3 linked regions of the Ovis aries genome follow. The protein of the gene in region 2 purifies or fractionates together with the protein of the main gene of each other region. This does not show direct contact. Links are inferred from orthologs where the notes say so. Each region holds a gene or a part of one and is shown on either strand. Other genes may lie near its edges.

Region 1 (10,548 bases), on a different chromosome or scaffold from region 2:
GGAGACGGCCTTCCCCAGCAGTGTTCCCTGCTTGTCGATGCTTCCATTCGCTCCACCACTTGGCTTTCCCGCCCCACAGCGGAGCACCTGCTCCCACCCTCCCCTCCCAGCCCCCGCGAGCCCCCCATCTACTGAGTGTTGCACTAGGGTTCTTGCTTATTTTGAAGTGTCTTAATTCTTTATTCCCAGACACACGACCCCTTGAGCTGTTGGAGGGGTGGTCATGAGAAATCTTCCAGGGAAACAGAGCACAGAATGGACTGTTAGTGGTTTTTTCAAAGTATATACAAACATTTCAGCGGATCATTAGGAAAAAATTCTCCAGTCCTGGCGAGAGAAGTCACATGAACTTTTGTTTCTCAAGAGCTGGGACATCCATATCTGTCGTGACTGGAAAGAGACCGTTGTGCTGAAATACTGTCATCATGGTGGATTTTATCGTCAATGGCCAAAAACAAAGAGTTTGAAGTGACACAGTTCTTGACTGAACTGGGGGGTGGGCCAAGCTTCAGGGAGGTGCGTGGTGGTCACTCTTGGCGTGTCACTGTGATGTGAGCCCTGGAAATGTGTTGGTCCCTCTCAGACCTGCTTTCTTCCCGCCTCCTGTGGCCCAGTGACTGAGGCCTGCTCTAGTACTGTGTATGATTAAATTCGCCGTTATAAAGGAATCTTCCTGCGGAATATGGACTGTGGCCTCTTTCCTTTAAGTTCATCAGTATCATCTTGCTACCTCTTTCTAGTTGATGAAAAATGAAAGAAAGTGAAGTCGCTCAGTCGTGTCTGACTCTTTGTGACCCCATGGACTGGAGCCTACCAGGTTCCACCATCCCTGGGATTTTCCAGACAAGAATACTGGAGTGGGTGGCCATTTCCTTCTCCAGGAGATCTTCCCAACCCAGGGATTGAACGTGGTCTCCCGCATTGTAGGCAGACGCTTTACTGCCTTAACCGCCAGGGATGTCCCCTAGTTGATGAAAGCTGGTAGCTTTTCAGAGCAAAAGCCAAGTGAGAGGTGAATTTTACTTGTAAATATCTCAGTTTATTCCCTGGGAATGCTCTCTCCCAGAAGAGATTAGGTGTTTCTAGTGACCTATGGAAACACTGGGAAGAGACTCTTCTCCTTTTCTATCTGCCCTTTGGTGTCGATCCTCTCCCCTGCCTTGCTCTGTCTGTTTAGCTCCTGTTGAACAACTGTTCTCCTGGCCTGTCGTGTGGGGCCACCCCTGAGCATAGTGTCTGCTGGACTACACAGGAAAGATACAGAAAAGTCTTCCGAACTCACTTTCTTATACTAGTCAGACCAGGAGAGAAGAAGGTAACCCGGTATCAAAATAACCTAAAGTTCTCTCTTTTTTTTTTTTTGTCCTACACACCCAGTGTTCATCTTGGTTTTGTGGCAGCTGCTTAAATTCAGATGAGGCCAAGAGTGCAGGTGGGTGGGTGGTAGGAGCAAGCAGGGAGATGGGTCCAGAAGTCACCTGCAGGAAAATTAGGTTTAAGGAGATCTTACACTTCCAGGGCAAAAGTAAAAAGTCCATTCTGTCTCGAATAGATTTCTTGAGGAGAACTTGTTAGCTCTCTCACTCATTAGCAGACCTTAGGCAAACTGCTTTCTTTTCAGTTTTTTTTCCCTCAGTATATTGGTGTGATCTTCACCTGCTTCATAGGGTCCTAAGAATTAAAAGGGAATAATGGTGGCAAAACACTCAGTGTCTAGATGTGGTAAGTGCTGGGGAAACTAACCACCCTGGAGGTTTCTGTGAAGCTCAGACTCAACAGTTAGATGATTACAGATGAAATGGAGTGGAGGACAGCTTGCACAGATGCCCAGGTGAGGGTGAAACATGTCCCAAGAGAAGGGGCAACAGGGTAAGGCGTGTGTGTTCACATCTCGAGGCCACGTTTTATCCCGAGACACAAGAAGCCATTGAGTGCAGGGATCTTTGGGGAACGTCCTTCTCGTGGCAGTGGCCTGGAGAGGCAGACTTCAAGGAGTGGGCCCAGAGGATTCTACCATCATAACATGAATGGAGGAATTTAGCCTGCAGGTGTTTACAGAGATGGTTACGTGGAACATTTAGACCAGCACAGAGTGAGGGCTCACAGGTAAGAGGTAAGTGGGTGGTGACCTTGTTGGGGGCACCGAGTGTTGATCTGTGGGCAATTCTGGTGACCAGTCTGTGCTACTGTTCTCATCTGTTAAGAAGGCCACGAGCAAGCAAACAGCAAAGGATTTATTGGACACTGGTGCTGATGCCACCCTTTGTTCATTCTAGACCTTTCATTGTCACCCGGAGGATCAGGGCAAAATACCCTAACAGGCCTGCAAGTGAAAAATATCTCGAGCGTATGACGGACTCAAGTCTTTGGGACACTTAACAAGCCAGTGTGCCAAAATGCTTTATCAACTTCACAGTGAGGTTTAACTTTTCATATCATCTAGACCAAATGTTAGGAGCAGTGACCACTAACCAAACATAAGAACAGATTGCTAAATTAAGAAGTTTTGACTATGTCCTCACCTTTTTTTTTTTTTTTTTTAAGCCTAAGGCAAACATACAGCTAATTCTTTGACAACTGTATTTGCCTAGTAAGAAACTTGGGCTACGACACAGTTGACAAGGACTTAGGAAGGTGTTTGGGAATGTGATGTGCTCAGTCATGTCCAACTCTTTGCAACTCCATGGACTGCAGCCCACCATGCTCCTCTCTCTGTCCATGGGATTTTCCAGGCAGGAATATTGGAGTGGGTTGCCGTTTCCTCCTCCAGGAGATCTTCGTGGCCCGGAGATTGAACCTCCATCTCCTGGGTCTCTTGCATTGCAGGTATAACCACTGGCTGTATCTCAGAGCTGATCAGGTACTTGAGTAGTCCGTTGTCTCCTGTCTCTGAGACAGTGTACTGTTCAGAAGTGGACCCAGTAGCCACAGCTTCTCTGCAGTACAGAATTGTGGCAAAAGCCCTGCACTAGAGGTGCAATACCAAAGATACTCTCCAGAGAAGGCAGATCATGTTATCAACAAACTTGTGAGAACTTAGAACTTCTGGGGGGTGAAAGTACGAGTGATATTAGGGTCATATCTTAGCACCTATGCTTGTCTGTGCTCTTCGGGTTGGGGCATGTCACCAAAATCAATCCAAAAAATTCTGCTGATTGATTGGTCAGCTGGACCTTTCAATCCTAAGGCTATTTCCTGGTTCCTCATGCAGGTCAGCATACCAGGGCTGCAGAGATACAGGGGCAATGTCTAAATGATTGAACACCTAAGAATTCTGGTAATTGGCAAGCTTCTTAGCCTTTGAGTGCCAGAGCCAGAAAAATTTATTTACTTGGTGATTAAATATGAAATGCTAGCATTGCCACAAGCCGCTTTGTGATTTCTCCTTAGCACTAGCAGTGTGATACCCAAGTACTGTCAGCACCTGGAGGAGTGTGGAAAGTAGAGGACAAGGCCTCTTCTGGTGCCAAGGTCCAGGTCTCTTGCTTCCCAGGTCTGTGATCTGTAGTCAGTTTCTCTGCCCAGAAAAGGATGCTGATAACTTTTATATTATTACTACTGCCCTACCTCCTTTATGGGTTGTTTTAAGGGTCAAGTCAGGTTAAGATAGGGGAAAGTCATTTAGAAAACCTAAAGCTCTGAAAACATTTATTATAACATACAGCTCATCTATTGGATGACCTTTCTGATACGAGTTTTGGATTTCTCTGTACATTAAGTTGTAGGAGGGTTCTGGCAGGACACAGATGTGTAACACTCAAGGGGGTAACTCTAGAGTGTTTTAACTGGTAAAGCACATTGGACTAGCAACAGAGAGATGCAATTACCAGCTGCAGGTCTGAAGGGACAAATGGAGAGAAGTTCCTGGAATCCAGAGAGCTGTGTTCCAGCAGAAGCTGTAACCTGGGGTGGAGGGAAACAGCCACAGCCCTCCAAACCCCAACAGGAGGGGAGCCAGAAACTAACACTCTCCCCTCAAGCTCCTGCCCTCTGCTTTCCTGCTGTTAGGTTCGATTGGCTGAACCCAACCCAGACCAGGGACCCTGCTGAAAGCTTTGCAGCAAAGCCAGGAAAGCTGGCCTCAGGCTCCACCCTTTGTTCCCTCCCCCAAGATCTGAGCAGGTGTTGCCGTAGCTGGTTTGACGCTACAGCAGCCAAGCATCACGAGGTTCTAAATCGTGAACAGAAGCAACACACCATGTTGTGGTTTATTTGGTAGAAAGACAGGCTCTTTATATATTAATACTCTGTATAAACATCTCACAGACCGCTTCTCTTTGATTACAAAAAGGCAAAGCCCGTTTTCTTTGAATTGGGGTCCTTGAATGGATGTTCAAGTCACCACGATAAATACAGGAGCTGCTGCTGTATCTAACATTCTGGAAGGTGCTTCAAGAAATGCACGCTAAGGCCTGCCTAGCATCTGAAAGGATCCATCTTTCCTTTGAAAGCCAAAGAATGGTAATAAATAAGAATCCCAGAGATCTGACACTGGTGTTGAGTGAGTTTGAGAAGGCTAATTTAATGATGACCAACTCAGCCTTAAAAATCTTCTAGAGACTCAGAGAAATGGCTTCCCCTTCTTCTCCACCTGGCTTTCTCAAGGATGTCTTTCTGGGACCCAGGCACTGACTACTAACAGTCTCATCAGGCTTCTTGAAAGGGTTTTTGGCGAAAAAAGCAGCTTTAGTTACTGTCTATCTTCAGCCTTTAGAAAATTATTTTTTGTTAAAAAAAGAGGGGGGCGGAGATCCTAAGGAATTCAGCAAGAAATAGGCACCTTTTATGAAAAGGACTTTCAAGGCTCACAACTTAATCGAAATCACTTTACTGAAGTATCTCCACATAAAACACAGCACCTCTTCCTCCGCAGCTGGATGGATGGTACATGTGCACACAGACGACCCACTTAAAATGCCCTCACTGGAAACAGCAATTGTGGCAAAAATACAGCTACCGTAGCTCCCTTGAGTAACATTCACATCCCTCCAGGCCGCACCCCGCAGAGTTAGCTGTAGGAGAAGCAGTAAAGGTCCTGCCGGACGGCCATGAGCAGCCCTGGCGCTCCCTGGGAGCCCCCAAGCCGAGAAGAGAAGGCCACGCTGGGAATGTCGGCCTTGGAGGTGGGGTATGGGGAGGGTATGGTTCTGAGTAGTTGGCCATCGTGGAGGCTCCAGATTCTCGTGTAGCAGTCCTGGCCCACTAAGAAAGAAGGAAGACGTGCGGCAGGTTAGTGAGAAAGCACAGGACCAGGGCGGGGGGCGGGAACTGTGGCCCCAGCTTCCACGATTCCTAAGGGCTAAAGGTGATTCCACGTGAGCCAAGCAAACTCACAACGGAAACTGTCTCTACAGATAAGATGTCCCTTTTGAAAATGAAAGTTACAGGTTGCCCTGGTGCTCCAGGATCACGAGTCGCTGGTGTTCAAAGGGACAAGACACAAAGGCTGGCTGTGACACCCTGGGTGGTTCATGGGGCATCTTGGCTATTGGGTGGCCCATTCTGTTTCTCTTGGTGACAAGGGCTGTTCAAGAGGGAGCTCAGCCCACCTGTTCTAGATGGCATGCAGCTCATTTCCTTTTTATGAGACAGTAACCAGGACGATCTCTTTAATTTCATTACATCCCCGGGCAAATTGGGTGATAACTCCCTCCAAAACATTTTCTGCTTTAATGATTCAGTTCATAAGACTTTACAGTCTTCAGTGTTCATAGGTCAGAGGAAAGAGACACCAGACACCACTGATTACAGCAGCTCCGACAGCCAATATATGCTAGTGGGGGAAAAGGGCAGACCTTAGGCGTCACGGATTTCAGTGTGTGCTTCTGAGCATCCGAGCTGACTCTCTGACCTTAGGGGTGGGTCAGTTCGGGCTGTGCAGTTCAAGGATTACTGCAGCCAGCCCACTCCCTACACCTGCTTCTCAGCAAGGCTCATATCTTTTCTATCGTCCAGAACACAGAAACTCTTCTGTGGTGAAAACTTGTGGAAGACAGACTTAAGGAAGCTAACTGCTGGTGGTGTGGTAAGAGTCGTAAAAAATTCTGAGTTCTAGCGAAGTGATGCTTCTCAGCCACAAAAAATTTCACAGCAGAGAAGTACTTTCTGTAGGAATATTAGAAAATTTGAGATCTGTGAAGACTGAGAACATACCTCTTAATGCCAAGGGCCTACTGCCTTGTGAAACTGCCAAATAATTATATAATATAATCTGTGATCAACTTGTAACTCCTTTCAAGGGGGTTTGGTGCTCGAAAGCTCTGCTTCTGTTCTACACATCATGGGATCACAGCGGTGGTGGTAAAGGGACCGGGCATTGGTTCCTTTACAATGACCTTCATCTCTTTTCTCAGCATCCTCTGGTAGAAACGTGAGTACAAAGAACAGGGAGCTCAAGCTTTTCGACAGGACGGCCGCCCTGAATGTGGACCTGGTGAGCAGACTTAACCCGCACACCCAGGTCTCCTACGTTGCTGCGTTTTATTGCTCCTCACTGGCCTGTAACTGAAGTGATGTCTGCCCAGGGACGTGGAGACAAAGGGCTATCCACATGCTGGGGGTTAAACTGTTGCTCACTGATGGCCAACTTTGCACCCCATCTTGACTCCCAGACCCAACTGTCCAAACCCCCTTTATTCAGCTTGTCACAGAGTCATGTCTTCTCTGCTTCAGCTGCTGGGGGTCCTCAGGGTCAGGGTCAGTGGGACGGAGCGCCTCATCCCCAGCTACCTGCCACCAGGATTCCTTCCTCTTCGTGCACATGCAGGGGCAGGTGGGCATACTCGTTCACGTGCCCTGCATACTGCCTGATGCACTTGGTGGTCCTCAGGTCCCACAGCTTGATCTGTGGGAAGAAGCACAGAGGCTGTCAGGAAGGGTCCATGAGCAGGTCCTGGTGAGCCCCAGGCGTGAAAGCCAGCGGGGACGAGGTGGTCTCCAAAGACCACCTCAAGTGAGAAAATGCCTGGTCTGAGTCTGAGAACCCATCAGAGGCACCAGGACCAGTGACCCATCCCTTTAGACCAGACGGGGCTCCGAGTGGGTGGCAAAGCAGCTGCCCTGCACACCTGGCACCTCACTTGGTCTCCATGCCTCTCCCCTGCCACGGTCCGACACAGGAGTCTCTCCTGCCAAGCCCCTCCCCTGGCCCAGAGCGGCTCCCGCAGCTGCAGAGTCAGTGGTACCCATACCGTTCCGGCCATGTCAGATGCCATCAGGCACTGTTCTTCTTGGAGGATCTGCACAGAGGTCACTGCAGAGTCATGGAACAGGCGGGTGGCCTTCCAGCCCTTGCCCTGATTTTGACAACGTAGATCAATGGCAAAGATTTCGCCAGAACGACAGCCGTTAAATAGCAAAGGAGCCTGTGGAGAGAAGGACTGCTTGGTACCTCCCTCCACGGCTGCGAAGGCTGAGTCCCCCAGAACACAGCCCCCTGCCTCCCTTCTCTGGATCAGAGGGATAGGTAGAGGCAGCCTGGTTAGGGTTCGAGCTTCAGTGGAGACGGAAGGGCTTCTTATCAAAGGTCAAGAACTGGACACCATGTGTCCCTCCAGTGTCCTCCCCGCTGGCTGCGACGGGCCCCTAAGGCCTCACCCTGAACCCCTCCCCTCCCGTGAAGTGAGGGTGTCCCGTTCCCGCCCAGGTTGTGAGTTAGGAAGTAGGTGATGAGAGTGGAGTAAAACAGACTAGAAATCGAGGGAAGACACGGGTCCCAAATAGCATGGGAAGATGGCTGAAGAAACCGGAATGAGGAGTTCTGTGCTTATTGCCAAAAGCAGGTCGGCATATCTCTTCCACGCTTTGAAAGAAAGGTGGCATTTTCTACAGGTCAAGTCTTTGAAATGTAGTAAGGACCAGAATTTTGATTTTTAAATTTCATGGGTAGCTTGACAACTGCATATAAAACTGTTACTAACTGGGACATAATTTATACATTAAAATTTTTTTATGGTCTTGCTGGCTAATCTAAGTACTCAAGAACTAACACTTCATTGAAACTTTAGGAAGCTGCTGAAAGCCAGCTGAGCCAGGCCTTTCTAGATCGGCCAAATCTCATCCAGCACTGACTTATTCACCCATGAATCACTTTGGATGCCCTCTTTTTCCCTGCAAATGAGAGGAGGACTAGATTGCACACAAGGGAATCCTATTCCAACCCAGCACAAGGTCCCCTTTTGGGAAACTCTGAGTTAGGCCGTCCCCAGTGCAACCAACCGTGACGGCAAACTGCTGGGTCAAGACGTCGCTGCTGGTTCCAAACGACTGCCGGTGTCCCGTCACCACGCTGGTCACCAGGACTCGCCGAGACAAGCCTGACAGAGACGGAGATGGAGACATGGCGGACAACGTCCCTCTCGGTCCAGGGAGAGGGAACTGTGGGCCGGCATTTCGGGTCTGGGTCCTCCCTCACCCTGGGCAGCTGGGTGGCTCACCTGTACTAAAGCAGTTGTTTGCCTGGATGTTCAGGGACCACGCACAGGACCAGGCCCCGGGGATCCGGAAACTGCAGAGCATGCCAGGCCGGTCTCCTGCTGAGGGAACAGCAGCAGTGTTTCAAGTCTAGCTGTGCAATCTTAAGCAAACCTTCTGTTCATTTTTAAAATTGATAAAACATACATTAAGGGCACAAACCATACTATATCCCTTAATGAGTTTTCTCAAAGTAAGTAGAGCTATATAACCGCCACCCAGGTTGATAGAACATTCTAGTACACTGATACCCTTCATGTTTCTTCCCAATTACTACCCTCCTCACTCCTCCCTAAAGGAAACCACTATCCTGACTTCTAAGAGCCTCTCTTGGTTTTGTAAGGCAAATTCTGAACCTCTTTTTGCCTCAGTTTCCTCATCTGTAAAATGGTGATACTACATCCTCCTGCTTCACAAACTGGCTGTATGATGAAATGCTAGGCACAAGGCTAAGTGTGCATTAAATCACTTAATCTTCCATGTAACCCGAGGGGGCAGATATTTACTTTCCAGAGGTTAAGCAATCTCTTCAAGATGGTTAGGGGCAGAGCTGGGATTCATGCCAGGTCTACCTGAGAGGCCTGATCCTTGTCTCTGATCCTAATTCTCTGAAACTGAAAACTTCATATCCAGAATGCTGCCAGGCCATCAGGCTGCCTTCAGCCATACAGAATCTAAGTATCCCTCACAGCACCTTCCATACAGTAGGAGCTTAACAGATGCTCTCTTGGTCATCTGTATATAGGCAACCTAAATAAATATTTTCATCTCCTATGTTGGTTATACATGCTTTTAACTGTTCTGGCTGCTGAAAAGACCTAAAAGGAGGGGATAAGTGAAGATGTACATGCTTCCAGTACAAATCCTGGGTGGAGTTTAAGGAATCCTCCCAGGTGCTCTGCAGACCGTCCCCACCCTGCAAGCTCCCACTTAAGACTCACTAGCCTGTGGTCCCCACCCATCTTGTCCAAGCCATCACCACAGAGCTTATGCTGCTGCTGGCTGCAGCTCCTGGGAGGCAGAGGACAAAGATGTCCCCCAGCACCTCCTTATCCATCAGTACCTGCATGATTACTGACAAACAGCGACGTGGGGAGCAGGGTGGCACAGCCCGGAGTCTCTGCAATTCCCATAAGGCACAGCCTGGAAAAGCTGTTAAGGACAGTCAAGAACGAGTCTCCTCCAGGAGGAGAACGGGCATCAGCACTCTTCAAAAAAATCATCCACATTTAACAGGCTCACATTTTCCATATTTAGTTTGGATATTTTAAAAGGAAAAAAATGTCACAGATACACTTAAAGGCCCCTTTTTAACTTCCCCCACACAGAGAGAATTGCTACTCTAAAACAAGTCTGAGTTCTAGGCCTTAGCATTTATACTACACAGTATTTGTCCATAAGCAATGTAAAGAAGCATTTGATTTTAAAATACATGTAGACGGCATCACACACAATCTTCTACAACTGTTCAATGTACATTGTCTCTGAGATGTAATTGCGGTTGTGTTTGCAGCTCTGGTTCAACCACCTGCACCATAGAGCACTCCTTTGTATGAACAGACCACAATTTATTTATCTGGGATCCTGCTGCTGGGCAATGAAGTGGGTTTTGCCCCCAACCCGCATCCTTTTTTCCTCTGTCTTCCACTCCCATGTATGGGATGCTTCTCTTAAAAGTTTCTCACACCTGTGATAAGGGCTTCACTTTACACTAGCGTGTGATACATACACAAACATTTAAAACAGGAGTTCCGTAATACATTCACCCTTACTAAATAGGAAACTGGCATCTTCTAGCAGTTTCCCCCATTCTCCTCCTACACCAAAACTTGGCACTATCAGACCTTAAAAACTGCGTTTATCTGAGTGGGTATAAATTATCTTTTAATTTGCATCTCTGACTACAGCTGATAGTCATCAGGTTTCCCGTTCTCTGAGCTGCCACTTTACATCCTTTGCCTGCTTTTCTGCTGGACCGTCTTCTGATTTGGTTCCTTTCCCTTCAGAGTTTCAACAGGAACCTGTGTTTATTCCCTACTTCCTCGCCTTTTTACTCTTCAACCCACTGAAATCCAG
Region 2 (10,548 bases):
GAATGCGGCCTGCTCCGTGTCCTGACGGCGGCCCACCAGCGCGCAGCCCCGTGCTGCCACCATTCCAACAGCTCCTGCCAGGGGCGGTGGGGCCTGCCCCCGCTCCCGAGCCCCGCAGGCTTCCTCGGCCCCCTGCAGCCTCTGAGCCCAGGAGCGCCGGTGGTCCGCCTGGTCAGAGCCCGTGCTCTTGCCCGGCTGCGCAAGCTGGGACGACCCTCGCTGCCCCCGCTCCCGAGCCCCGCAGGCTTCCTCGGCCCCCTGCAGCCTCTGAGCCCAGGAGCGCCGGTGGTCCGCCTGGTCAGAGCCCGTGCTCTTGCCCGGCTGCGCAAGCTGGGACGACCCTCGCTGCACTCCTCCTCTCCCAGGGAAGGCCCTGGGACTCTGGCCTGTTCCTGCCATCCCTCCACGCCCGGCCAGTCCTGCAGCGCCGGCACGCGTGTGCACGCACACCCCAGGGGGAGGGGGGAGACGAGTGTCAACCAGCAGGCACAGACGGGGCGTGGAGGTTTTCCAGGAAAGAGTGTCAGCTTGCACGGTCACACCCGCCCTGGGAGCGTGAGCGCGCCAGGCAGAGTGTGGGGAGGGGTGCAGAGCCGTCCCATCGCGTGGGGAGATGTGGGAAGGGGCGCTGAGTCTGGGACAGCCGTGACAGACCCGGGGTGGGGGGGATTGGAGACACAGGCTGGAGGCTGAGAGGGACGGAGCTGGGGCTTCCAGGGAACATGTGCGTTCGGGGTACAGGCAAGAGGAAAAGGAGGAGAGGACGCGACAGAGACTGCCTGGGGCCAGAAACGGGGGACTCCAGGAGACTCTGCCCTGCGAACAGGAAGGGTGGGTCCGGGCAGCAGCACATCTGCCCGGGTGCCAGGCCCTGGGCCTAGCTGTCGCCCCGGAGGCCCTGGGCCCACGCCGGCAGGCACACCCCATCCCCCTCACAGGGCCCGTCTCAGCCACACAACGCCGTCCCTGCCCTCTCAGGCCCTGGCTCTGGTATGTCGGGTGGGAGCATCAGCCAGCCAAGGAAGCTCGAGGCTCCCACACAGGAGCTTTTTAAACCAGCGCCTCCGTGACAGGCAGCCGGCAGAGACAGACCAGGAGCGCCCGCTGTGAACGCTGCTCCGAGAAGACGCGGATGGTCAGGGCTCAGCGAGCGTGGCTGCCACGCTCCCTGCGGTGCGTGGGGCCTGGAGCAGGAGCGCGTGGCAGCAGGGTCTGGCTCCCGAGCGCGCTCACCTCTGGAGTCAGGTGCACCTCCACGGGCGTGTACGTCGGCCAGTAGCCCATGGTCAGGATGTTCACGGTCAGGTCTATGGAGCCCGGGTCACTCTGGTTCTGCATGTACTGCACAGACAGGAAGCCGGGACAGACGGCCACTTTAGAGCAGCGCCCAGAACTGACCTCCAGAAACCGATGACCCCATTTCCCAGCTACAGCTCACCTTGCGTTTCATTTGTTCGAGCCCCTGGAACATAGCCCACTGAGGCCACACGCCCTGGTCAAACGCCACTGGGAACGTCTCTCTTCACTTCTGCCCCAGATACGGGCCATTAAGCTCATTTAAGCCAGAGTTCCAAGTGCACTTTTAGGAATTAGTTTTCTTTTCTTGTTTTCCAACTGCGCCACACAACCGGCAGAACCCTAGTTCCCAGACTGAGGACTGAATCTAGGCCCTCGGTAGTGGAAACCTGGGGTCCTAACCACTGCACCAACAGGGAATCCCGGGGGGTTATGTTTCTTTTTCATTTTGAAGTGTTCTGAGTACGTGGAGCATCAACAGCGTGATTTTTAAAGACGAGGATTTTACACAGGTCACATACTTACATGCAAAATCATTTCACAGAATCTGAAATAGCGTGTTTTTAAAAGAGCTGTTTCACTTGAACACAACTTGCCTGCTTGAAATGAACCATGATGTCCTTGGAGAGCTCCATGTCCTTGAACATGCCCTCCAGCTTGCTGGTGAATGCGGCCCCGCACTCTGCACAAAGCGGACGGCGGGTGAGCATCAGGAAGGCCCTGAGTGGGGCGCTCACCCCCACCCCCGGCGCTTACCGTGCTTCAGCTTCGACAGCATGGATTTCTCAGCGTCGACGGAGGCACTTTTTCCAACCAGGAGTCTTTTTGCTAGATCTTTTTTGTAAAAAGCTTCAAACACGTCTTTACCTATTTATAAGCAAGAACCATGTGAGACATTTAACAGTTGCCGTCAAAATGTTCACCTCAGCTTCTGACTCGGCCCAAGAGGCGACCACGCGCGTGTGCCAGCCAGCTCTTCCCGCTGAATCCCCACAAACCCCCTTGCTGCGCGCACAGCGGCTGCCACCGCGGTCCCATGCCGCGGACGCGCTGGGGGCCCAGCTCACCGTGGATGAACCGGAACAGGATCATGACTTTGTCCAGCATCCTCTCCAGCTCCTCGTCTGTCGCCTCCTTGTTCCCTGCTCTGAGCTTTGAGTCTACGTGCTTTGCTGTAGGAGAGGATATCATTTGAAAAATAAGCATTCACTCCACAATACGATACATATTCTAAATACAAAAAGGAAGGTCTTTAATTTCTCCAAGAAAAAACACTTGGAACCTTCCCAAACTGACATGTTATTTTGTAACAAAAAGGCAAACACCTGATGTTCTAAGATCTGTGCTTTCCAGGCTCGGAGAACACACCCCGCGGTCCCACACTGGAGCTTCCTGGCACACGACCGCTCCAGAAGCCGGAGCAGCCCGCCAGCAGGATTTGCGGAGACGTGCGGGCAAGGCTTCCTTACGCGGGAGCACTCCCCTCAGGGCTGACCCCTCAGGCACAGAGTGGGTCCGCCTGCCCTCCTGCTTTCGAGACGCACAGGCTGCCTCGACCTGCCCAAAGGAAGGGAGAACCCGAGCTCCCCAGAGTCCGAATGTGTCTTTAGAGAAACCACAGTCTATAAAGTGGCACAAAGGCCAAATCAAACAGGTGCATTTGAACGTCTCCTTCCGCTGGCTCGTCTTAGCCCCTCCCCTCATTGTCTTGATTCTGAGCGCCACAAATGTACGCACTTGTAACCTCCACTTTCCCACCAGGCGCCTTCACCAGCCCACACCGGAGCTCAGCCCTATGCCACGGCCTCACACCTCCCTGCCCACTGCCTCTGGACAATTCCAAAAAAACTGCCTCACTGATGAGACTCCATGAATCCTGGTATATTTTGATGTTATCAGGAAATAAGTATACAAAGGGATCATTTGAAAGAGTGCCAATCAATCGCACCACATTTAACACTGACTGGGGGATACAAGGTCGAGCCTGAACAGCCATCTCCTGTCAGGCGCTGTCGAGAGGCCAACAGTCACCCTCCTAACATTCCTACACGACAAACCCAGGCCAGCTTCTGGGCAGGAAGAGCTCTGGGGCCGGGGCCGTGCAGGCGAGGAGAAATCTGCTGGTCTCATCCTGCTCCTGAGACGTCAGGCTCCATCTTGTCACAAAACCATCACCACACGCTCCCAATGGAAACATCACGTGCTCACATATGGATTCAGCACACAGAAGCGCACGCTGGTGTCTGTGGCTTCCGGAAAGGCGGCCCTCTCAGGCCCGCCCACCCTCCCCGTGCGGCGCGTGCTCCAGGGGAAGCCTGTGCGCGAGCCTGCTCCCTACCGATCAGCTCCGCGGGCTTGTTGGGCCGCTTGTTGATGAATGTCTCGAAGGACTCTTTCATCAGGTTGATGAACTTCTCGCTCCGCTGGAAGCACACGTCGATCACGTGGTCCACTCGGTCCTTGAAGTCCAGCAGGTCCTGAACCATGTCTTTGTCTTTCTCTGGATTGATGACGATCGTTGTCCCAAAAGTCTGCAAAACACACCAGCTCAGCCACAGGGCTCCAACGCCGCAGTTCCTCTCCCGCTACCAAGCGACCGTGATGGCTGAACAGCTTAATCACTCCCAGTACTAGGTGCTGAGTCCCTCCAGAAGCTTCACAGATTTAGTCCACGTTCTAAAAACTGAGTGGGCACGCAACTAACCTGTAGGGTTACAATTCTGCTTCTGGAAGAACTTTTACTTATAAATCCCTCAAACAGAAATTAATCCTCTTAACCTTCTACACCTATTTGGACTTCCTAACAATAGTTCTTTCTCTTTCACGTTCAACTGTGGTTTAGACTCTGGTTTTTAGCCTGCATTTTTATTTAAGAAATGCTATTTAAACATGACTAGAAGTCTGTATGACAATACCAGTTGGCTATCTGACTACACACGACACACGAGGAGCTCCACGTCAGAGGTGCACGTGGGGGCAGACCACTGGCGGGAAGGCTCAGGTGAAGCGGCCGAGAGGCTTCAGGAGAGGGGCCTGGCGCGGCCTGCAGGGGTGGGGGGCAGCGTCACGGCTCATCCTCAGTGGACACCCGGGACAAGCTCACAATCCAACGTCTCCTGTCCAGGCTGGACGCTGGAAAGCTGCCCTCCTGTGTCAGGACCTGGGCCCGTTCTTTCAGAACCCTGGGCGGCAGAACCCTCGACCCCCACGGCCTTTCCTGGCATAAAGCCCAGTGCTGACCAGGCCTGAGTCGCGCATGCCTCTCGGCTCAATGCGGCGGCACAAGACCCTGGGGGTGCGTGTGCGTGTACGAGCCTTCCACGCGCAGGCCTGACTGTTCCCGTCATCTTTCTCACTGAGCTGAATCTTCCTCCTGATGGTTACAGGCCCGCGTGCAGCAAGAAGAGTGACCGTGTGCCTCGCGCGCCCAGCCTGGTCCCCGGCGCTGACACACGGGCCCCAGCCGAGCAGCAGCACAACCAGGACCCCGGCCCTGACGCAGCTCACGCCTGCTCGTCCAGACGGGCCACGCGCTCACCTACACCTCGCCGGGGGCGCAGCACCCAAGCCCAGCGCCACACAGACCACTCCTGTTGCCTTTTTGTAACCGAAACACAAATAAATCCTGGGTTTCCGGGAAACAAAGCCGCATACACCCTACCCAGACACACCAAACTGTGTAAGTTCCCACCGAGCCAAGCATGAAATCATGTTTCAACAGTAGATTCCCAAAGGCAACTTTTTGAAAATCATAGCTATAGAACTCCGCTAGTCTCCGCTAGTACTTATGCAGACAACAAACGGCCAAACAGCAGCTTTTAAAGCATTCACACCTGGATGCTATTTATCCCCAAGACTGTGTGCTCACCGGACCCAGAAGGCGATAGGCAGGTCCAGCCGGGCCCGCCTGAGCCTGCAGGAGGGGAGGCAGCTCTGGGGACCCGGGCCCCCCGCCCCGCCCCGGGCCCCGCCCCGCGCCCCACGCACCTTGATGTACTCGCTCCAGTGCCGCAGCAGCGCCTGCTGGCCGCCCCGCACGCGGCTGAACAGCTGGTACATCTGCGTGAGGTCCGGCACGCGGTTCTCGTCCAGCAGGTGGTCCAGCCCTGAGATCACACGGCAGTGCTAGCTCGGGCGGCAGGTGGACGGGGGTGGCCAGGTCTGCTCACTCCCCGGGACCCCGCGCAGGCAGGAGGCAGCCCTCGGGGCCAGTCGGCTGGCCGCCACGCGTCCACGCTGGTGGTCAGCCCAGGCCTGAGCACAGCGAGGCTGTCTGCCCGCCAGGGGCTGGTGTCTTTCAGCCCTGACAGGACTCCTGTGACTTTAGCCCGAACCTTCCATGCTCCCTGCCCACCCCCTCAACACAACTGGTAACCCAGCCCCCCCCAGGCTGAGGGCCACCACCTGCGACGATCATGGTGACTGAGGCTGTCACGGCTGCTCCAGCCCTCTCACTGAATGCAGGACAGGCGGTCAGAGCAGGCACGAGAGGCGGGAAGCCTACCTTTCTGCAGAATTGCTGTTAGATGCTCTCCCAAGAGCTGCTTCTCCACACAGGCGATCAGCGGTTTCCTGGGGGGGGGGGGGCGGGGCACAAGGAGCCCATCAACCAGGAGGGACGGGCCCACCCAGCGCTCACCCGGCCTCGGGCCACCGAGTCCAGCAAGAAGGGCGGCAGCGGACGGGGCCCTCGCGCTCCAACCCACTGAGCTCCAGTCCCCGGGCCTCCAGGACCGCTGCCCCCAGTCCCGCCCCACTGGGTCCCACAGACCCCCCCCGCCACCCCAGCTGCCCCTCTGCTCTTCCACCTGCGTCCTCCCAGGATCACACATCAAAGCCCGACTCCTCACAGAGGCTGGGAGTGTCACACGCAGCACAGAGCCAGACGCCCTGGAGACGGGCGTGTGGGGCTGCCCCTGCACGAGGGGACACGGCGCCCTTCCGGGGCCCAGGCCCCTGCTCGCTGAGCCCTGTCCTCGGAGACCAGAGGCCTGCTGCACTCCTAGGAGTCGCTAAGCTCGGGCCCACTCGAGGGACTGCTCCCTGCACCACCTCACGTGGCCTGCACGGCAGCCCCACACGGACAGAGGCCGGCAGCCACCTGGGCTCCAGGCGCCAAGAGCTGGGGAGGGGGCGTGCAGCCCGGGACTCATTTACTGGCCTCCTGCACCTGCTTTCTCTGAAAGTCACCTTTCGCCCTGTGGCCTCTGAGTCATCTGACACTGCAGAAGCCACCTCAGCGCCCCTCAAAACCCTAGCCCAGGGAGCCCCCCCTCTCCACAAGCCCTCTGCTTAGCCTGCAGTCACTTCTCGGAGACGGGGTGCGGTGGGGCTCGCATGCCGCACCCGCATGAGGGCTGAAGGAGCAGCCGCCGGGCCTAGCACCAGGGGCTGCTGGCTGGGGCGTCCCACCACACAGTCCTCTGCCTCGCTGCACCCCAGCCCCCGCGGTCCCACGGCGCCTCCAGCTCCTTGTCTGGGGCAGCCTGCCTCTGCTCCAGCCCTGTGTCCTGTCGGGCTGCCACACTGTTCCTGCCTGTCACCTCTACCCCCCTCCCCCCTCCAGGCCACCACAACCCGCAGTTGAGCACTTTTCCTCTTAGAAACATCTCTTTTCCATCTCCCACGTTGCTGCTCTGACCTTCCTCACTTGAATAAACGTTACGTGCCTGACACAGACACTCAAAAAACTTTCCCTTGAACTTCTCCCTAGATACTCATCAATTCAGAGAAAAAAATCAGATGAAATGAGAAAATAATGGGGCTTGCATTAGTAGCAAAATAGTTCCGGCGACATCGGTACCTCAGACTTCCAGCCAAAGTTCACAGCAAAACTGCCTACGTTCAGTGACGCCCCATCAACGTTTCATAAATGACAGATTCCTAACATAAATTAAAAATGGCAAAAAGACACCAAGTATCTGTTCAAATCACTCCTTTGGACAGGATCTCAAGACAGGCCACTCGGTCAGTGCGACTCACGACTGCTGAACAGTCACGAGTGATAAGCAAACTGCTCGAGGACCAAAGCCACGTCCAGGGCCAGAGAGCAGCAAGTGAGTCTGTGAGACGCCGTGCGTCGGGGAGTGGAGGGGACATCGTCCCCCGGAGGCCCCCAGACGGAGCCCGGAGCGGCACTCACTGTGTACTGTGATCTAGGTATGTGATCACGCGGTCCGCCTCCTCCTCCAAGCGCTTACTCACGTGGTCAAGGTACTCTGGAACCTTCCAGAAAGAACATTGAAACACTTCAGCAACAAAACACATTCTTCACGTGACCCAAGAAGTTCAAACGCTGCTTTAGTGGAAGAAAAAGCAGAACTGCACGCAAGCCAAACCGGAGCACCGGCTGACGGAGCGGGGAAGGGGCGCGGCGCCCCGTCCACACGGTGCGGCCAGCGGGCACCCGTCACACGCTTCCCCCAGGGGCCCCAGGAGGCTGCAGGAGATCGCAAACCACACTCCGAGTTTCCGGGGGTGAAGGGCGCCCGTGCTGCCCCCTGCCTGCACAGCCGGGGCCCGAGGCCCTGGCCCGGGGTGGTGCCCAGGCTGCCCTCCAATGCTGGCCCCAGGGCTTCCTTCTGGGCTGGGCTCTAAGGCTGGAGAAACCAGCTAGAGAGGTTTTGGGGTTTGATTACCGTCACCTGGCATTCCCCCATGGCTTTTAGGGTCTTTTCTTTCAGTGTCTCACACAGGTGAAAATGTTTAGCATATCGGGTCTATCTTTCATATTTAAGCGTTATCTTTAGAGAACTCCCTGGCAGCCCAGTGGTTAGGACCCCACGCTCCCATGGCAGGGGGCACGGTTCAAACCCTGGTCTGGGAACTAAGATCCCACAAACGGCTCAGCACAGGCACCCCTCCCCCCAACACACACACACACACACACACAAAATTATCTTTTATCATATTGTTTCAGCTTGAGCTCCTTTATGTAAACCAGAAACTGCTTTTCTGGTTTTTTTAATGGGGGGAAAAGTTTCTAAAATAGGGGGAAATTAAACTCTCAAGATACTAAGAAAGAATCTCATTACTGAGAACTGAAACTAGATTGTAGCTTTCAGAAGATTTTGAGGAGAATGTCTGCCTGTGTGAAAAGACAGATGCTTAGAAATCACACTTGGATACACTTCTATGAAAACCAAGTAAGGCACTTCAGAAACCTCTCGGCGACTCACCTCTCTTTCTTGCATTAACCTTTGGCCTTCTGCAGCATATAAACAATTCGTTTCTTCCAAAAATTTCAGTTCAAATGAGTCTTTATATACCTAAAAAATGAGCAGAGTTACTGGCCAATTACAGCAAAGAAGCCGCTCATCCTGAAGGCTGACCCCTCGGCGAGGGCGGCCGGCTGCACTGCCACGCCCCTGCTTGGGGGCAGCTCCCTTCTCGCCCCGAGTGCAGAGGGACAACACTCCCTCATTTTTAGCCAACGCCTGAACGGTGTGGTCTCCAGCGAGGTCTGACCCTGTCCTCGGGCGGTCGGGCCCACCTGGAGGTCAGACAGCATGCCCAGCAGGCTCCGCAGCAGGCTCCGGTCCACCGCCTCGCCGCTCCGCTCCCGCTCAATCAGCAGCAGGATGCCGTCGATGGTTTTCGTCTGGACCGTTTTGTCGCTGATGATGTGGTTTCTGAACAGCTCTAGCCCCATGTCCCTGCACAGCAGAAAAACGAGACGCGTCGGGTTCACCCGTCACAGATTTTGGGTGAAGCTCCAGACACACCTGCTTGCTAACTTGCTAGTGCACAAGTCGACCTTTTTCTAATTTTCCTCCTGACAGTCTGGCACGCCTTGTGCCTCTTCCCTCATCCAGGCAGCCTGTTTCCTGCGTGAGTCAGTGGGTCCCCCCACCCTGCCGGGGGCCCCAGGGCCTCCTGTCCTCGGTGTCCCCCGCCCCCAACCGAGCCCGTGCTCCAGCCGCTGCATCTGTCTGCGCCACAGGACCGCAGAATGAGGATGCAAACCAGAGCCCGCCACCCATCCTTAGCCCGTTGCCCGAGGATTCAGGAAGAAGTTCACCCGTGGCTGCAGGCACCCTCTTCTGGAAGCTGAGCTCTCAGCTCGGGCTCCAGCAGCTCCCACTCAGCCAGCAGGACACACCCTCATCCCCTCCGCCCTCCACCGCCCACAAGCCGCATGTCCCGGGCACAGCACCCGAATTAGGAGTGACTGTCCATGTGGATGGAGGCCAGGAGGGCTGCGGGTGAGCCGGGGCAGGCTTCTGCACAGGCTGAGTTGCTCGGGCTGCGGCCAGGAGGCAGCAAGCAGGGACCCAGGTGACAGGGGCGCCGGGTCCCGGCTCACACGGCCCCCCAAAGGCCCCGCATGCAGAGCAGGGGGAAGCTGGGCCCTGGCGCTCAGCACCCTCAGAGCAGAGTGAGGGGTGGAGACTCTGAGCCTGCCAGGCCCGTCCCGGGACCCCATCTCCCGCAGGAGACCACACGGGACTGCCAGCCACCACCTCGGCGGCCACCCCTCAGAGATGGATGCCCCGGGCTGAGGTCCACCGAGGGGCCCGGTGGGTGCGCAGAACAGACAGACGGTCGGGCACGCACAGCAGCCGCAGCGCAGACACTCACCAGATGGAGGGCAGCGTGGAGTTCTGCAGCACGTACGTGCGGTCCAGGAACAGGAAGATACTCCGGATCATGATCTGGGGGCAGAGGGCCGGGTCAGCCCACCCCAGGCCCCCCAGCGTCTCACATCTCACGCGGCTGCCTCCCCTGAGCGGCCGCGTCTCACATCTCACACGGCTGCCTCACCAAAACCCTCAGGACCGACGCCCCGAGTCTACTTGCTCCCCTTGGTGTTGGCTTTTCCTCCTTCATTCAGAAAATCTGACGAAGGACTTCACAGCACTCGGCCTCTGAGACACGCGTGACCTCAGTTCCTTCCCCACTGACGGGCTCAATGTCCTTAGCCTGGGCTTGAGCACGCCTTCCTGGCACGTGGGCACGCGGCCCTCAACTGCTCTGCAGGCTCGGGGGTGGGGGGGCCCAGGACTCTCCTCTCAGGGAGCTCCCCAGACTGTCCAGGAGCTTTGCTCACACAAGCACAGAACCCTCCTGATGGACACTCGCCTGTTTCTATCGCTCACGTGGTGCTGGGCCTGGAAGAGACTCTCTCGCTGTTGCCACTTACCTCCGTTAGGAAACAAGAGCACTCGCCCCATCGGAAGAGCTACTGACCTGCCTCTGCTCCCCCTCTCCTAACTCTCAGCCAGGCCACCCTGAAAACTCACACACATAAAG
Region 3 (10,548 bases), on a different chromosome or scaffold from region 2:
CTGCAGCAGTAATGCTTACTCTGATTCATCCATTCTGATCTGATCTGTACTGGAACCTAAAGCAGCTATTTTCTATAACTGGCAAGGTATGTGGAACTTGATGAAACACTGACTGACTTCAGCAGGGTTGCAGCCAGGCCTTTGGTCCAAAACAACTAGTCATTTCACAATAATATACTCAGATGATTATGAGAAGCTCTGGTTCTTAGCAGGTGGGTATCAACTGAGGGTGACTTAGGTGTTCTGAGAAGGGCCTCCAATGGTCTCTTCTTCAGGTTGGTCAGTTTCCCTAGGGAATTAACTCTAATCTCCTGCCTGAAGAGTATATGCCTGGATACCATATCTGATAAGAGGAATAGGAGTCTACCCCATCAGTATATCAATTTTCACTTAATTCTTGGTTTAAGCATGATGAGTCTCATTTCTATTCTCAGCCATGTTTCATGAACTTGAAACCAGAGCCTGCATGGTTCGATTTCTCCAGAGAATAAACCTCTAGCCTTTTGCTGACCTGAGGAAGAGACAGTCATTTGGCAGTTGGAGGCTTAAGGAAAGGAACTAGAGTATCTGACTATTCCCTTTAAGAATGTCATCTAGGGGATTCCCTGGCAGTCCAGTGGTTAAAACTCTACGCTTCTACCACAGGGGACACAGGTTTGATCCCTGGTCAGGGAACTAAGATGCCACAAGCTTCAAAGCACAGCAAAAATAAAAAAGAATGTCATCCAATCCTCCAGAGGTATACAGGACCTCCAGTTTCTTGACTTTTTCCAGAGTTCTCTGGTGCAAGACAGTTTACTTCTTGATGGGCAAGCTCTGTAGTCTTCTTTTGTTCTTTGAGGTATGTCAAGTTAGTTATCAGCCATCCACTGGCTCTTCAGCTTCTAAAACTCTATTGATATCTCCTCCTCACTCTCTTTGCTCTTGTAGGTTTACATCTCTTCATCCTTTACTGTCACTTTAAGTAGGGTCTTGGGATACAGCAGAGATAAATGCATGTGTTCAATGCACATGTTTAACCAAAAGTTATAAAATTACTTCCTTATTCATTCAAAGTTGGTGATGGACAGGGCCGCTGCAGTCCATGGGGTTGCAAAGAGTCGGACACAATTGAACGACTGAACCCAACTGCACTGATTCATTCAAAAATTATTTTAAGTGCTTGACAGTGAATCACTGCAGATACAGCAATAAACTAAACAAAGACACAGTCTCTATCTCTCTGCAGGTAACAGACAGTCTAGGAGGAATCGCAGACAACACACAAGTAATCGCTCGGGTGCTAAGAGAGAGACATTTAGGATGACACAGGAGGTTACAACAGGCAGACCGACCCAAGGCCGGGTGGGCAGAAAGAACATGGGAAGGTTTCCCGAAGTAAACAACTACTGGCTCCACACCAACACATTTTCTAGAGAAAAATTAAGCTTGTTAAGTCCAGGGGAGCAGCTTACCGGCGCTGGATCTGCCGTGCAAAATTGTTGCTGGAAGCTGAGCAGGGAAACTGGACTTCACTATGCAGGGTAGCATTCCGGAAGAGATCACAGAAGTTCTCAAAGAGCTCCAAAAGCTCATCTGACGTGTTCTCAAACACAGCAATCACCTCTGTTGTTACCATGTTGTACACCACAAAGAAAGATGCCTGCAGAAGGAGAGAGAGACCCAAGGGACAGCTGAGCATAAGACCTTACCTAGCATATTCACCATTCGGCTGAAAACTCAAACTCCCCAAGTAAAACAAGCAAACACCTCCACTCTGGCACTACAGCAGCAACATGATGCCTAGAGGTTCTGGAAGAGGAGGAAGCCTCAGTGGGATTGAGCCATCAAGGGCCTCAGAGCTGCCTGATTCCCCACTGTACCTGTGCTGCTGGAATTACTGAGTTGTTCAGCATATATGTATAAAAGGGCTTTCAATCTTTCATTTCAAACTGTGTGCAAATTTAATATGTTTCCTTTCAAGTGCTTATTCCCTACTTATGCCCCAACCCATTCTGAGATTAAAAACACTTTTCTAAAATGCCAGATTTAATTTTCCTTCCTGCTGAGAAAGTGATTTGCAGTCAGGAGCTGCCTGTTGGCAAATTATTTTCTCTTGTATGTGTATAGCAGAAAGTTCAATTTGGGGGCACTTCCTTTTCTTTCTTAGTATTTCTAACATGCAGAGAGACGTCTTAAGCACACCATGTCCACCTGGGCAAGTTGTAACCAAGCGGGGGACTGCTGCTGGACAAATGAAAAAGTCAGAGAAGCGTTTTCATTTCTTTCTTCATAAATGTTCTTTTAGCCAAGAGCGTTTGTAACACATGTTGGACATTTGTAGCAATACAGATCAGAGGGGGAAACATGAAAAGCATTCAGATGCTCTGGGTGGCAGAGTTACTGCTTTCTCTGAATGGGTCCCTAGGTGCCTGCTCCTCTTCTCTGAACCTCCAGTGTTCTGCTCAGCTTAACACGGAAGCACGAGGTACCCCAAGTTTTTGTCACAGTGAATGTGGCAGTGTGGGTCTTCCACCAGGACTCTAGAAGTTTCCAGAACGCTAGGATTAGTATTCTGCCTCCTAGGATTAAACCTGAATCTTCATTACCAATTTTTGGAGACATCTGGCCCACCTGTTTCACCAGTAATTAGTCCTTCCCAGAGCTTATATTACATGACTTTTGCGGTCACCTGGAAATTAAATTTAGCTGTAAATTAAAGAGGCTGGAGGGTAATCTGAGAATAATACCCATAATATTAGCAAGGCTTTGTGTTGAGGTACACTTTTTACTCATTAACCTTATTGGAACCTATCAAATTAAACTGGGGAAGGAGACTGGAGGAAAACGAGGGGAGAGTTTGGGTTTAAAGTTACAAATTCTGTAAGCAAAGCACAGAGCCCTAGCAATGTTGCTGGCTATGACTTACTGTAGCTACCGGACATAAGGAGGTCACGTTTTAGTGAAGGAGAAAAGGATAATCTCGAATGCGGCAGTCACAGACAATATACTCCCTCCAAAACAAAAAGGTAATTATAGCTCAAACCTAAATACAAGATGGACTCATGTCATTTCTATAAACCTGGACGACACTTGGATCACATGAGGGCTTCACCAGGATCCATCGTGACTGTGTGAACACAGAATTACACAAATATTTACTAACATTCCCACCAGGGCACACTGGGAAATACACGACAGAAGGGTACAGAAGTCAAAGGCTCTACCAACACCCTCTCATGACGCCTGAGATGAACTGGACGCTCACCCTCAATGGTGACTTCATCATTAATAAGGAAGTAAAAAAATTCAGAAAAAAAAAATCTCTAACGAATTTATTACTCAGATCTCAATGGGCTTCCCTGATGTCACTGGAAAGAATCTGCTTTCCAATGGAGGATATGCAGGTTGGATCACTGGGCCAGGAAGATCTCTTGGAGAAGAAAATAACAACTCACTCTGGTATTCTTGCCTGGGAAATCCCATGGACAAAGGAGCCTGGCAGGCTACAGTCCATAGGGTTGCAAAGAGTGGGACATGACTTAGTAACTAAACCACCACCATTTTAGTCACCTCCCCTCCCCTACCCTTGTTTTTGTTGTTTTTTTTTTTAGAATACACAAGGTATGATTCAGAAGAAAAATATTAGAAACCATTTTTCCACTGATGGTTGGTAAGGTCTCAGGAGAAAATTTTCTGTAGTTTCTCTTAAGGGCAGAATCAGCTACAAGTCAATGAGAGAAACCAGACTCAGCTGACGGCAGTTTACTGGTTTGTTCTGTTGTACACTTCCAAACTCGTATATAAGGAGACAATGTGGAAATAGGAGAATGATGGGGGGTGGGGTGTTGGTTCCAAACTGGGAAAGGAATACGTAAAGGCTGTATATTGCCACCTTGCTCTTATACGCAGAGTACAACATGTGAAATGCCAGACTGGACGAAGCACAAGTTTGAATCAAGATTGCAGGGAGAAAAATCAATAACCTCAGATATGTAGATGACATCACCCTTAAGGCAGAAAGCAAAGAGCCTCTTGATGAAAGTGAAAGAGGAGAGTGAAAAAGCTGGCTTAAAACTCAAACTTCAGAAAACGAAGATCATGGCATCCAGTCCCATCACTTCATGGCAAACAGTGGAAACACTGAGAGACTTTATTTTATTGGGCTCCAAAATCACTGCAGATGGTGACTGCAGCCATGAAATTAAAAGATACTTGATCTTTGGAAGAAAAGCTATGACAAACTTAGACAGCATATTAAAAAACAGAGACATGACTTCACTGACAAAGGTCCATTTAGTCAAAGCTATGGTTTTTCCCGTAGTCATGTATGGTTGTGAGAGTTGGACCATAAAGAAAACTGATCACTGAAAAACTGATGCTTTTGAACTGTGGTGCTGGAGAAGGCTCTTGAAAGTCCCTTGGACTGCAAGGAGATCAAACCAGTCAATCCTAAATGAAATCAGTCCTGAGTATTCACTGGAAGGACTGACGCTGAAGCTTCAATACTCTGGCCACCTGATGTGAAAAACTGACTCATTGGAAAAGACCCTGTTGCTGGGAAAGATTGAAGGCAAGAGGAGAAAGTGTCGACAGAGGGTGAGATGGTTGGATGGCACCACCAACTTGATGGACATGAGTTTGAGCAAGCTCCGGGAGTTAGTGATGGACAGGGAAGTCTGGCATGCTGCAGTCCACGGGGTTGCAAAGAGTCAGACATGACTGAGTAACTGAACTGAACTGTAAAGAAGTTAGGTCTCTCTTGGTCAACAATAAAGTAGACAGCTCCTCAAAGGTAAATGTCCACATCACCCTGAGGTTCAGCATGGTGTTTCAACCCAACCATCTTCACGGTTTCTATACTCTTAACCCAACACCTTATTCCTATTTGTGAAATGCGTCTTCCCCATCAACATCTTTCACCCAAACTAAAAAACCCTCAGAACCTGCAGTCCTGGTGATTCACTGGTAGATCAAAAACTTTTACTTCCTTCCCATCTTATCACTGCTCCACAGTCTATGTTCCAGCATGTGGGCAAGGTCAGAGTAAAGTCATAGAGCTTAACTCTATTAAATGAACTGTCCCATTGGTTACAATCTAAAGATTTTGTGAGGAAGTATACTGAGTTCATTTCAGTAAGAAAAAGACTAGTTACAATCTAAAGATATTGTGAGAAAGTATACTGACATCATTTAAACAAGAAAAAAGACTAGACTTTTGGAAGATTTTCCTTTTTTGTATGATGGGTTCATTCTCATTGCCAGAACTAAAACAGACCAATAAGTACAATCTTCCACAAAACCAAGGCACTATCCACAGGGAGTCAAATCTTAACCTTAGAGCATCTGGGCTTCCATCTCCAGGGTACTGAAAATGCTCTACAGAAGAATTAGGGTAGGGAACCTCCCTGGTGATCCAGTGGTTAAGAAACTGCCTTCCAATGCAAGGGACATAGATTTGGTCCTTGGTCAGGGAATGAAGATCCCACATGCTGCAGGGCAAGCAGGATGGCCCTGCTTGCTGCAGCAAAGACCCAGCGCAGCCCCCAAAAGAGTAAAGTTGCAAAAATATATATATTAAAAAAAAGAGAAATAGGACAATATTCACAGGGTTGACTACCTATATGTCAATGGCTTGAGATTTAGCTTCCATTTGTCCAAACAAATACATATGGCCAGAGATAAGTGGAGCTGTTCTAAGTTCGGCCCTAGGGGAGCAAAAATTCAAGATCCACATAAAAGGTGTTGCTTCCGAGAGGCTGGGAACAGGCAGAAGAAGCCTCCCGCGAGGTGGCGGGAGGGCGACAGGCGGGGCGGCAGCTCCTACCTGCGACGGGTCTGTGACCCGCAGAGTCACCACGTCCTCGCTGGTGTACTTGATGAACAGGTGGTTCTCATCCAGAAGCTGCATCTTCCACATGCGCAGCTGCCGCAGCTGGTCAAAATACTGAAAGAAGCGCCTCTTGGCCACGGCGCTTCCGTCCTGCTCTGCCCGGCGCCACAGGTACACCAGCAGCCGGTGTTTCAGGGAGTTGATGAAGGGGTCCCTGAACGGGTTGGCCATGCCTGTCTGGCTGTCCCGCTGCACCTCGGGGAACATGGCCGACACGGTGAGCAGGTCGTCCTCGTAGCAGAAGCGGCCGATGGTCCTCACGTCGATGAAGGTGCCCTCGGGGGTCACCTGGAAGACGTGGATGGTCTGCTGCTGCACCGACAGGATGGCCAGGATGTTCTTATACAGGTACAGCCCCTGGTTGTGCGACAGGACCACCTTGTCACACTTGAAGGTGCGCGTGTCACACAGGCGGCCGGTGTGGAGGTCAACGATGTGGAGGGAGTAGTCCTCCAGGGGGGACCGGGGGTTGGGGGTCACGGACTCGCTGTTGCGATACACCTCGTAGAAGGGGGGGTGCGGCTCGTCCGGCAGGTAGGCGGCGGAGCCCACGATGACGCAGCGGCAGTCGTCCGTGAAGAGGCTGCACTCCCGGTTCAGGTGCTCGCCGTTGGCCGCGACGCTGGTGATGTGCAGCAGGACAAAGAAGCGCTCGAAGAGCCGGCCGCGGATGTTGACGGACCGCTGGTCGTTGCCGTTGGCCAGAATCTCCCCCTCGTAGCCCTGCAGGAGGTCCTCGGCGGCCTGGCAGCCCTGGTACTCGTAGATTTCCAGAGAGGTCTGGTCGGAAGAGAAAGCGATGAAGTAGCGTCCGTCGGGGGAGAACTTTCGCAAGAAGCAAGGTGGCTTCTCCACATTGACGACGGTGAAGTTGGGGAAGACGTTCTGGTGGAAGACCCGGACCTGGTGCCAGTGGGTGCCTGCCTTGCCCGAGCTGATCCGCCGGCGCTCCAGGCGGTGAATGACATTTTGGTTTTGGATTCTTCGAGGTTTGATGGTGGAAACATGATGATCCATTATCACATCTCTGCATGGGAAAGTAAAAAAGAGAAGTCAAGAAAACAAAAATTTACCAAAACATAAATACAGATGACCTTTGCACAAGGCGGGGGTGAGGAGCACCAACCCTCTGCACCTGAAAATTTGAGTATAACTTGTAGTTGGCTCAGGATATGTGGTTCCTTCCTGTCCACAGATCTTCCACACCCGTGGATTCAAGCGACGTGCAGAACTGCAGTATTTACTGTTGGAAAAAATGCACGTGTACAGGGGAAGGAGAGGGAGGGATGAACTGAGAAAGTAGCATGTTGTGTAAAACAGCTAGTGGGAGGCTGCTGTCCAACACAGGGAGTCCTGCCTGGCGCTCTGTGATGACCTAGAGGGGTGGGGTGGGGGTGGGAGAGAGGCTCAAGAGGAAGGCAATATATAAATAGGGCTGATTCCCGCTGTTGTATGGCAGAAACCAACACAACATTGTAAAACAATCATCCTCCACTAAGAATAAAATAAAAATTATGAATGGCTTAAAAAATAATCCATGTGTAAGTGGACCTGCATAGTTAAAATCTGTGTTGTTCGAGGAGTAACTGTGTATACACAAGTCAAATACATTTCCTCCATATACCCTGGGTGGAGGAGCTCCCAACATGATGGTAATTGGCATTTCTCCTTCCCAAGTTACAGTTAGTAAGTGGTCCAGATAGCTTTAAGTCTATCAAAACTCAATTTTTGAGGGAAGGACCGAATTCTCTAGGAAGACTTTCAAAGCATGCTCAGCTGTTGGGAATATTCAAAAGAACAAACCTTCAACTACATCAAATTTTCTCAGTGTAAACACCATATTCACTCTGTAATTCATATAGAAAACACATTCATTGGGCTGTTAAGATGTCCGTACTACCCAAAGAATCTACAAACTTAATGCAATTCTTATCAAAATTCTAAAATCATTTCTGGCAAAAATAGAAAAATTCATCCTAAAATGTACATGTAACCTCAAGGGACCCTAAAACACAATTTTGTAAAAGAACAAAGTTAGAAGACTCAGACTTACTGATTTCAAAGAAGTGTGGCATGACATAAGATAGAAAAATATACCAAATGAAGAGAATTAAGACCTGAGAAATAAACCCTCCCACGCATAAACCCAAGTCTTTCCTGGTGGCTCAGACAGCAAAGGGTCTGCCTGCAGTGCAGGAGACCCAGGTCTGATACCGGCTTGGGAAGATCCCTTGGAGAAGGGAATGGCAATCCACTCCAGTATTCTTGCCTGGAAAATCCCATGGACGGAGGAGTCTGGCTGGCCCCAAACCATGAGGTCACAGTCAACACGACTCAACGACTAACACACACATACACACATAAACCCAAGATTAGAAATTCGAGAACGCCAAACATGATAAACCCAAAGAAATCCACGCCCAGACATATCATAGTCAAACTGTGAAAACCTACAACATGAAGTAAAAACCTTGAAAGCAACCACTTAAATGATACATTAGCCACACGGGAACAACAATTCATATACCTGTGGATGTCTCATGAGGAACTATGGAGGCCAGAAAGAAGCAAAGCAACATTTTTAAAGGGCTGAACCAACTGTCGGTTTGATCATTCAAATCGCAGCTAAATAGCAACTCTTCAGTTTTTCTCTGACTACCTTACCTAAAGTCATGCCTTTTTCCATCCACATCAATCTGCTGTTTTACCTTATTTTATCTTCTTCAGCACTTATCACTTTCTGAAACCATCTGTTTACTGTTTTAGTATCTGTCTCCCCACACTGGACAGCAAGCAGGGGCCTTGTCTAATTCCTTGCTGAATCTCCAGCACCTAGGACAGCGCCTGAAGCACAGCAAGTGCTCACAAACAGAAATGAATGAATGGAACAACATTTGACAAAGGTCGTCCAGGATAAACAACACATTAGGTAAAATAAAGGAGGAACATTTCAGAAAGAAAGTAGCTTAAGAAAATACACTTAAAAAGAGTGTAGTGTGGTACACTTGGGAAACACAATTCCAAGTGGTTAGAACACAGGAAACAAAGTGATAAGAGAAACCTAAAAAAGTAGATTGGAGCCAGATTAGAAAATACTTTGCGTGCCATGTCATGCAAGTTATTACAGGTTTTAAGCAGAGGAGTGACTGATCCAACCTGTATCTTAGAAATAAAAACATACAGACAATGGGAATTTGTTTACATTCTGTCTCCTGAAATTAGAAATGCCTGGTGTAAGTATATATACTATCTGTGCTGTGCTTAGTTGCTCAGTCATATCCGACCCTTTGTGCCCATGGACTGCAGCCCGCTAGGCTCCTCTAACTGTGGGTATTCTCCAGGCAAGAATAATGGAGTGGGCTGCCATGCCCACCTCCAGGGGATCTTCCCGACCCAGGGATCGAACCCATGTCTCCTGTATTGCCAGGCAGATTCTTTACCACTGAGCCACCAGGGAAGCCCAAGAATACTGGAGTGGGTATCCTATCCCTTCTCCAGGGGATCTTCCCAACCCAGGAATTGAGCCAGGGTCTCCTGCACTGCAAGCGGATTCTTTAGCAGCTGAGTTAGTCAAGTTAAAAATGTGCATACTTGTATGACTAAACAAATCAAGTTTCTCAAACTACTCGTCACAATTCATTAATGTATTTCCTACTGATTTAGACTAGAGCAAAAGACTGCAAACCACTGCTCTCAGGCCAAATCTAGCCTGCCTGTTTATTTTTATAAATTTTTACTGAAGCACAGTCATACCCACTTACTCACATGTCGCCTATGGCTGCTTTTGCTTTACAATGGCGTAGTTGATTTGTTAAGACCAAAGACCACACAGCCCACGAGCTTAAAATCCTGACCTAGAGAAATGTCTGCATGTATATAACAGGAAACACATACAAAGATGTCCACAGCAGGACTGCTGGCAACAACAAAATCTTGACAATACTCCAAATGTCCATCAATAGTAGACTAGCTAAACAAACAAACAAACAAAAAACAGTAATCTAGCTAAATTCATCCAGGCACATTCATGCAGGGGAATCTTTTTCTTATTTAGTTTTGGCTGCACCATGAGACTTGTGGGATCTTAGTTCCCTGACCAGGGATTGAACACAGGCCCCAGCAGTGAAAGCACCAAGTTCGAACCACTGGACTGCCCGGCAATTCCCCCACGCAAGCGATGAATTCATGCACTACAGTCATACATAACAACACAGATGAATCTCAGACACAGCGTTGAGTGAAAGAAGCAAGTTACAGAATACATACAGTGTGATTCCCTTTATATAAGTTTCAAACCATTTCTAGTTTAAGGACACAAACACATATGGCATATAATTAGAAACAGTAAAGGATTACAAACCTGAGATTCAAAAGTGGTGCCTCTGAGGAAGTTTAGGAAACGGGATGGGAGTTAGGGACACCCTGGTGGCATTCTGAAGTGTATTTTTTTTTTCCTTGAATTAGCATTCATTGTACTGTTGTTCTTTTAAAATTACATATTTTTTAAGTAATATTTGTGCTTACTCAGAATTTTTCTTAATTAGAAAACAATCACTGTGAAGGGTAAACAAAGGACAATAAAAAGAAGTCTGAAGTACACAAAAATGCATACCATGAGAAACTGTGGAACTGCCAAGGTGGCTCTGACTTTCTCAGCAGACGAGGCACAGGAAAAC

Evidence for each region. Proteins that work in one complex are often made in the same cells at the same time.
Region 1: the proteins of CUL4A (region 2) and DCAF4 purify together in Homo sapiens (affinity purification with mass spectrometry; 8 studies listed by BioGRID and IntAct, counting the BioPlex papers as one, with this or other methods). This does not show direct contact. The link is inferred for Ovis aries from reciprocal best matches to the Homo sapiens genes CUL4A and DCAF4.
Region 3: the proteins of CUL4A (region 2) and DET1 purify together in Homo sapiens (affinity purification with western blotting; 6 studies listed by BioGRID and IntAct, counting the BioPlex papers as one, with this or other methods). This does not show direct contact. The link is inferred for Ovis aries from reciprocal best matches to the Homo sapiens genes CUL4A and DET1.

Annotation. Positions count from the first base shown.
Region 1 is NC_056060.1:82,555,190-82,565,737, reverse strand, and holds the end of DCAF4 (DDB1- and CUL4-associated factor 4), read right to left. Parts: intron 9,616-10,548; coding exon 9,536-9,615; intron 8,535-9,535; coding exon 8,436-8,534; intron 8,316-8,435; coding exon 8,218-8,315; intron 7,365-8,217; coding exon 7,191-7,364; intron 6,845-7,190; coding exon 6,730-6,844; intron 5,203-6,729; coding exon 5,009-5,202; 3' UTR 4,813-5,008; downstream 1-4,812. UniProt on the Homo sapiens protein: May function as a substrate receptor for CUL4-DDB1 E3 ubiquitin-protein ligase complex.
Region 2 is NC_056063.1:85,893,782-85,904,329, reverse strand, and holds part of CUL4A (cullin-4A), read right to left. Parts: intron 9,951-10,548; coding exon 9,877-9,950; intron 8,952-9,876; coding exon 8,789-8,951; intron 8,565-8,788; coding exon 8,475-8,564; intron 7,522-8,474; coding exon 7,439-7,521; intron 5,869-7,438; coding exon 5,801-5,868; intron 5,403-5,800; coding exon 5,284-5,402; intron 3,828-5,283; coding exon 3,635-3,827; intron 2,469-3,634; coding exon 2,364-2,468; intron 2,164-2,363; coding exon 2,053-2,163; intron 1,979-2,052; coding exon 1,893-1,978; intron 1,342-1,892; coding exon 1,234-1,341; intron 1-1,233. UniProt on the Homo sapiens protein: Core component of multiple cullin-RING-based E3 ubiquitin-protein ligase complexes which mediate the ubiquitination of target proteins. As a scaffold protein may contribute to catalysis through positioning of the substrate and the ubiquitin-conjugating enzyme.
Region 3 is NC_056071.1:18,917,426-18,927,973, forward strand, and holds part of DET1 (DET1 homolog), read right to left. Parts: intron 7,116-10,548; 5' UTR 7,008-7,115; intron 6,900-7,007; 5' UTR 6,890-6,899; coding exon 5,807-6,889; intron 1,643-5,806; coding exon 1,455-1,642; intron 1-1,454. UniProt on the Homo sapiens protein: Component of the E3 ubiquitin ligase DCX DET1-COP1 complex, which is required for ubiquitination and subsequent degradation of target proteins. The complex is involved in JUN ubiquitination and degradation.